2 linked regions of the Bombyx mori genome follow. The protein of the gene in region 1 interacts with the protein of each later gene in a pairwise test. Links are inferred from orthologs where the notes say so. Each region holds a gene or a part of one and is shown in the gene's direction. Other genes may lie near its edges.

Region 1 (4,309 bases):
AATGGAAACAACAATTAACGAAAGGCTAACTAAAAACAAGAATTCAGCAGCAGTACCATTACCTACACCGCAGTCACCTACAAATGTACAAATTTCTCCAAATTCACCTTCACAGCATTCGAAGTTATACTCCTCACCTGCTCCGGTCTCCACTCCTGTGCCATTTGCTCCGCGTCGAAGTAATCGACGTATACAGTAGAGATGGCGTTAATGGTTGAATTTATTTATCTGTTAACTGGTAATTGATAAAAAAAATTACCGATATTTTTATTGGTTGAAAATACCGGTAAATCTTTTCGTTGAAATACTAATTTTGCTAATGTTAAACTTGAATGGTAGAGTTTCTTACATTTATTTTCGATTCAGTGAACTTTAGAAGCTACAGGCTTAGGGCTAACTAGCTTAACTAATTAGTACGAAATGATTAGTGGGAAAAACTCTTTACAAATTTTCCACCACGGCGGTGCGCTGGTTCAATATTTTTGAATTGATTTTTCTTACAATAATTACACATTGCAATTTTTTCCGCTCCCAAGCACTTTTCGAAATGATCCCATATTTCTGCATTGCGTTTCGGCATTTTAAATTAGATATACACTTTAAAAATCCACAACAACAAAGTAAGCAAAGTCTCAAACACACAAAAACAAAGTCAAAACACACAAACACAAAGTACAAATCTCTTAAAATACAAAAACACAACTTTACCAAAATAATAGAAAAGATGCACTGAGCCGCCAAAATGTCAAGTATCAAACAAAATATTACGTTTAAAAAATCAACCAATCGCGTCATCTTCGCGTTCGGTAAAAATATCGTTTCATTTCAATTTTTTAACGAAAAAAATTATCATTAACTGTAAAATACACCAACTTAAATATTGTGCTTTATTTTGAGGGGTATAGAGCATACAATGAAATCATAAAATTCAATATTTTTTACATGATAAGTTGAAAACATCTGCAAGGCGAAAATGAATCTTACGTGTTGAAATAAAGTTGAAACTTGCATAAATATAATTTCCAATAATTGCCTATGCCACTACACGCAGTGTGTTTGTTAAACGGTATTTTTAACCGTTTTGGGTAATTTTATTTATCGAATAGAAGTGTTAATTTTTTTTACCGGTAAATTTATTGGTTAATGGTTATATTAGCCACCTCTAGTATACAGGCACCCCGCCGTCTGATCAACGAGATGTAGATGGGGAGGAATGTTGTAACCTTCTTTTCCATATTCCATTATTTGAAATATACTTCGAACACATTGTCATTTTTACCATCTATCATTATTATATTTTATGCTATGTCTTGAAAACATTGTTTCATTATACGGAGAATACCTTGAATTAAAAGCAACACTAGTGGTCATGTCATAGATAACTTATGCTAAAAGACTGCTGGTTGTCAATTAATTCTTCGGAGTAAACATAGATTATACCCTTATGAGGGCCTTATGGAGTAAATAATAATACGTGTAGTCAAATAATATTGTTGAATGGAGTACCTACCTATTTAATATTTTCAAATATAAACTCCCGATTGAGATGAACAAATAGGTTTTGCTCCTAACTAGAAAATCAATTTCATGATGGAAGCGATTCAGAACCATCCGGTTAGAAAAAACATTTTTAAAACAGCTTAATGCAGAATTTTGCAATTTAGAAGAAAAAAAGAGCGTAACAATTGATTAATTTATGATACAGAATAAAATGTTATCCTTGTTCCTTAATTGTATTTCGTAATATAAGTTTCAATTAAATAATTTAATTGTAATCATGTGATTTAAATGTATAATGTTTTAATCGCATTACAACATCCTTATAGTTGATATGTTTTTAATAATAAAAGAGTGGTGGGCCTTTATAACCCAAATCCTTTAGAAACGATTACTTTCTTTGGGTACCTGTCATTGAATATTCTTAGCCTCCTTGAGACAGATGTGTTTTCAGAGCAGTGAATTTCCTTTACTTAGTGCTTTTCAGGAATATATTTTGTAATCAACATGAATGTTAAATACCTAGACTATTTACCTAAAAGCCTTTATTATTTTAATTCAAGAGTCAAGATGGACCACCAAAAAAGAGTCCTTTTGATGAATTAAGCAGAGAAGATTTGATCCATAAATGCAAGGGTTTACTTGTAATAGCTCAGAAAGCTAAGCAAGCTAAATCAGGTGAGTACTGCTAGATAAATATGTTAAATAATAAAAAGTATGTTAAATGCAATAGTAACTAAATCCAATTAATGCACTTTTAAAGTTTTTTCCATAATTGTGTACATTGAGGCTCTGATTGGAATTAAGTTTGTTTAAATGGTTACTGATACAATTTCTTTATGCAGAAGGGTGTTCTTCGACTACTATCAAATATAGATGTTCAGGTGTTTTTTGTGTGCATTATTTATTTATTACACTTCATATATATTAATGTGCATTGGTGGACTTAAGGTATTCTCTCCAGTTAATTAAAGTTGATAAATTAAAGAAAAATTAGATTCTATACAATCATCGTCATAGACTTACTCTTGGCAGAGTAGTCACGGTCACGTGGAATCTTTGTTTATTAAAGCCTTGACAGCTGTTCTCTGTAATTCTATACAACATGTTTGTTTGTTTGTACAACATACCATGTTTATTAACCCATTAATGCTGCTTTTTTTAATTATTAAACTTTGAAATAGATGTTCCTCTGAATGTAATTAAAGTAAAAATGAGAAAGTTGAGGTATGCTTATAATTTTATGTTATCTATTGTAGCAAGATGCGCTTTCTCATTACTATAGCATTATCCAGCCATTATGCTATAATAACAATACTTTCCTTTGAACAAGTTTGCTGTTTGAAATACCTCTTTCTTCTTTTTTTTGCCTGAGACAAGTGATCTTTTAATAGTACTCTGCTTTCTCTGAACATACCAGTGCCATTATAAGCAGGCTCACATAAATGTATAATAAGCATTGAGATACTAGTAAATAGATTATCAAAATACAGTTTGTATGTTAATGCTTCTTGTTAATCTTCTGGAAAATTATGCTATTCAGATTTTTCTCCTGATATATCTTAAAACCCAATAAAAGTTGACATTCACTAATGTTGTCTGATCACAGTGATCTTTTCTGAAATCTTCATTAAAAATTGAGCACATTCTAGCGCTTCTATACAAATTGCTTTAGCAAGCTCTTTTGGCATTATCAAGAGGTCTATCACATCTTTTAATTGTCCCTAAAAATAAATGAACTCAATGTTTGTTCAATGAGAAATGTATATATTTACTCTGAGCGCTTAGGGTGTTCATATGAACACATTGAACAAACAGTATGTATAAAAATCACAACAACAACTACATAAAATAGAACTAAAATCATTAAATCATAAAGTCTTTTTGATAGTGAACTAAAATGAAAATAATGAGTAATGTTGAATAAATTAATTTTTACTTGTCATTAATAAACATATGTATATTTTAACAGTGATCATACTAACACGCACAGTGTTAATGGGTTAAATAAGCATATATATAACATATTATACATTAACTAATGTATAAATACAAGTAATGATTACTGCCACTACTACTTCTACGAGTTCTACCAATAACACTACTACTACTACTGACTTATAAATACAGAAATACATAAATTTAAATAAATTCATTGAAAATTGTAAGAAATTAATGTTAAATATATAAATTTAATAATTATACCTAATACACAACTAAATACATAATTTTACCATACACGTTTACACATATTACTTTACTTAGATATTGACTTTGAGATGGTTCTGTCATTTTATATAAAATCTTTTATCATTTATGATGAACCAATGCCTACTCGGTAATGTTTTAAGCTTGGCCTTGGAATGACTTTGTATATCGGGAACTAATGGGTAATATCTATAATATTAAGTTTCTACATAGAAGCTAATGTAGGTTTTTAAATCGGATGCTAATCTCATCTTAGTTTTTTTACAAGAGAGTCTACCAGGTAAGATGACTCCATAAGTTACATTACAGACTGTAGGGAATGTTGGTGGAATGTGGCAGTCACAACCTGTCGGTAGCATTCTAAAATAGATAAATGTTTAAAAAAATATAATGCACTGGTGGCCTAGTGGTGTTGTGGTGACCATATTTTTTTAAGCAAGCCTTGGGTGATGTCCATTCATCAGCCACTTCCTTATCAGCAACATAATTGTTATTGTATTATAAATTATTGTGATTATTAAAATGTAATATTGAAAATTTTATAGAATTACAAGCTGAATTAGAAACTAACAAAAATAAAGTTGAGAAATTGGAAAATAGTGAA
Region 2 (4,091 bases), on another chromosome or scaffold:
GATGGAAATTTTTGCATTACTGTATTACAAAGGGACAATAAAATTTATTTCGTTTGCAAATCATGGGGCTAATCGTTAAAAATACTTATTTTGATATTTTGATTATATTAACAAATATAAAATAAAACACTATCCAGATACTTCAATTTAAAGCGTCATAAAATTCATCTCATTTATCATACTCAGGTTTTGACTCATTTTAAAGAAGCGCCTTATCATATTTAATATCATTCTGCATAAAATAGCTTTTAAGTTATTTGCTGCAGGAAAGGAAACTTTTGAAAAGCAGACTGCTATCTAAAATTCAGCAGTAATATTATATTTCTTTAGTTTTTTTTTTTATATTAGAAGCCTATATCATTAACTTTTTTTGCTCGACGAACTCAGCCACAGCCAACCCTATTTTTTGTTTTTCCCCTACCTATATGCTGATATCCTTGAGAGACTAGGTATGTCAGCGTTACCCTAGCTCTTGGGGCTCAAACCGGGGGTGTTGCTAACACTGGCCTTAGCAAGAACAGTGCTTCGCAGAATCTACCAGCGGATCGCAAACGCGACCCACTGAGAAGATCCGGCGAGAAACTCAGTGGGCTGTGTCTGTGGGTTAATTTCCTTCATAGCGAGCGACGGGTTCGACGAGAACGGTGACCAGTGCTTGAGGCACCTAAAAGCACCGATATTAGATCGAGAAGATCCGAAATGACGTGTTTAGGGCGACGTCGAGCCATGAGAAGAGGCTTAAACTGCGTAAATAGTCGATAATCCGACGCTTCGCACTCTCTACGCATTAATAGAGAGTCGAACTATCCACGGTTCCTTATGTCAGGTGGTCATCATGTTCTGCGAAGCAGTTCTCTGGTTAGGGCAGATGTGAGCAACGTCTTTCAGCATGAGCCTCGTGAGCTCGGCCACTACTCATGATGAAACCAGAATAGGCTATTGAAGCTGCTGACAAATACGTAGGAAAAAAGGAGGATATTGATATCACAACGCAAATTCTACCACCCACATTGAGATAAGAAGCCGAAGTTTCAATTCTATTCAATAGTGGCTATCCCACCTCTAAGTTGAAAACCATGACTGATTCAGTGATTACGCAACACAAAAATTCAGAATGATGACACATCAGCACGTAGACCCAGGAAGTTATAATTCTACCTACACGTGGTAGTGAATTTTCTAGTGGCTACATATAGTAAATAGTTTCAAATCCTGCAGATAATAAAAAAAAAACATAAGTAATAAACAAAGAAACTTCTTGACACAATGTTGATTGCGATACGAGTTAATTATTAATGTGTTAAGTGTATAATCTATGATTAATGTGTCTTTTTTGGTTCTTACATAAGAAATTAATTGTTAAGCCATTGACCACAAGAGGAAAATGCTTTTTTTGGAACAGTTTGCACATAGCGTCATTTTTTGTTATTGAACTGGCGTAACAAAATTTTTGATTATTATTTGAGAAAACAGTGTTGTTTAACATTCTACCATACTTTAACAGTTTTAAACTACGCCTTTTCGTCACAAGTTATAAGATAAAAGTTTTCAAAATCTGGCAACAAAATAATTGAGTGCTTGCTTACACGTCAAATGACTGAGATTTCTATAAAATGTACAATATTTATTGTTAAATAGGATATTTAGTGTGCTCCATGTGTAAATAAGTACAAAGAAACAATTTCAAAAATCTTTAATGTGCAAACGAAGTGCATAAACATTCCTTATTAATAGCAATAAATTAAACTAAGCTTATCAATAAAATGGGTATGAGTTTATGAGATTTTTTAAATTGAATTTTTACCTAAAGTATTGTTGTGAGGAGTGTTGTATATTTTTTATATTGTAGGTGGTCTATTTAGTTACTTTAGAGGATTGCTGGGTGCAAGGGAAATGCGGATTTTGATACTTGGATTGGACGGTGCCGGAAAGACGACAATTCTTTATAAATTGCAAGTCGGTGAGGTCGTGACCACTATACCGACGATTGGGTTCAACGTAGAACAAGTCACATATAAAAATCTCAAGTTCCAAGTGTGGGATCTTGGGGGACAGACCAGTATTAGGTAAAATGTTCGCTTTGAAGGTTAGGACTTTGTTACAAGTGGTCATATGCAATTATGCTGTCAAGATGTTCAAACTCGATGCTGAAGTCTCAAGTGTAGTACATTCTATTCTATTACTATACAATACTATTGCTTATTAAAATTAACTAATGCTTTGCAGCAGTGCTTTAGAATACAACCATTACAACAAATTAATGTAAATGTTAAAAATATTAATATTTGGTTCACGGCTATCACCATATATTTCAATCAAAGACATCATACATATTTATTATCATACACTATATTTCTCAATCAAACTCATCATTGTGGTCTTAAAAGATTTAAACTAAACTATAAGTCTGTGTGTGTAATATGTAATACTGTGTAATACTCAAACACTCTAAATACTTTAGGAAAATTCAAAAAGTTTGGTAAGCCAGCATAATTCAATATTTGAAAAAAATACAATTAAAATTGACCAATCAATAGAATTTTGTTACTTAAATGTAAAAACATGTATTATTATTTCAGGCCTTATTGGCGATGTTACTATGGCAACACAGATGCAATAATATATGTTGTAGACTCAGCTGACAGGGATCGAATAGGAATATCTAAAGATGAACTTGTGCATATGTTAAGGGTGAGTTGAAAAAAATTAAAGCATACTGTATAATGGATACTATTTTAAACTAAGAGTCCTTAAGAAGATGACAGAAACTAAATCATGTGATCTAAATCACTTGATGTGTATCAAGTAGAAAATTCCAATAAGACGAAATGAATATAATATAACAAAAATATCTATGTATAAACTAGGAAATTATTTAGTGATACATTTGAAAGTATATTCAGGTATATAAATGTATTGGTAAATAATTAAAATTTAGAGAGATATTTCTGATATCTATACATCTTGTACAAAAGGTATACAGAGCAATATTTAAAAGTCATCGTGGCCTAAAGGATAAGACATCCGGTGCATTTGTGGTGAGCGATGCACCAGTGTTCGAATCTTGCAGGCGGGTACCAATTTTTCTAATGAAATATGTACTTAACAAATGTTTACGATTGACTTCCACGGTGAAGGGATTCACCCACCCATCTAAGCAAAAAAAATAAATTATAATAATAACACTTGCCGGAAACTGCCAGAAGCAGTGTGTTTTAATTAATAGTTTTTTTTTGCTTTGTTTAGCTCACAGCCCACCTGGTGTTAAGTGGTTACCAGAGCTCATAAACATCTATAACGTTAAATGCCACCATCCACCTTGAGATATGAGTTCTAATGTCTCAGTATAGTTACAACGGCTGCCTCACCCTTCCAAGCCGAAACGCATTACTGCTTCACGGCAGAAATAGGCAGGGCGGTGGTACCTAGCTGTGCGGACCCACAAGAGGTCCTACCACCAGTAATTACGCAAATTATAATTTTGCGGGCTTAATTTTTAGTACACAATATTATTCCTTCTCCGTAGAAGTCAATCGTGAACATTTGCTAGGTACGTATTTCATTAGAAAAATTGGTACCCCGCCTGCGAGATTCGAACACTGTTGCATCGCTAGATACGAATGCACCGGACGTCTTATCCTTTAGGCCACGACGACTTCATGGAAGAATTAGTGAAAACTATCCATACACCTATTTGAAATAAGCATTTTTTTTAAGACACAATTTAAAAACAAAGCATTTATTTAAAAAGTAAATGCATGTTAAAATTATCATCAGGAATAGACACAAATTTTACTAATTATATGTCTGTACAATCAGTTGATGGTATCTGATAGTACAAATACAACACATTATTTCACTTAGCTATTAGTTATTTAATGCACAACATTGGTAAAGATAAATGAAAGTTGTGAACGAATTCTGATGAGTAAATTCTTGAAACAAACGTTTGTTCTGTGAGTAACAATAGGTTGCTTTTATTGATTCATATAGACAGATGAACTTCACAGCCCATTCAGTGTTTAGTGGCTACTGATGCCCAAAGCAAATGCTACCAAACGGAGATGTCAAATTTTAATCTTAGTATTTTT

What was found. The genes of interacting proteins can lie anywhere in the genome.
Region 2: the proteins of GRIP and coiled-coil domain-containing protein 2 (region 1) and ADP-ribosylation factor-like protein 1 interact in a two-hybrid assay, tested with the Drosophila melanogaster proteins (2 studies listed by BioGRID). The link is inferred for Bombyx mori from reciprocal best matches to the Drosophila melanogaster genes GCC185 and Arl1.

Annotation. Positions count from the first base shown.
Region 1 is NC_085121.1:11,080,711-11,085,019, forward strand, and holds the start of GRIP and coiled-coil domain-containing protein 2, read left to right. Parts: upstream 1-1,352; 5' UTR 1,353-1,587; coding exon 1,588-1,614; intron 1,615-2,060; coding exon 2,061-2,175; intron 2,176-4,250; coding exon 4,251-4,309. Other genes in the region: uncharacterized protein K02A2.6-like, read left to right, coding at 1-199.
Region 2 is NC_085119.1:17,325,155-17,329,245, forward strand, and holds the start of ADP-ribosylation factor-like protein 1, read left to right. Parts: upstream 1-1,145; 5' UTR 1,146-1,763; coding exon 1,764-1,767; intron 1,768-1,849; coding exon 1,850-2,066; intron 2,067-2,579; coding exon 2,580-2,691; intron 2,692-4,091. UniProt on the Drosophila melanogaster protein: GTP-binding protein involved in protein trafficking; may modulate vesicle budding and uncoating within the Golgi apparatus.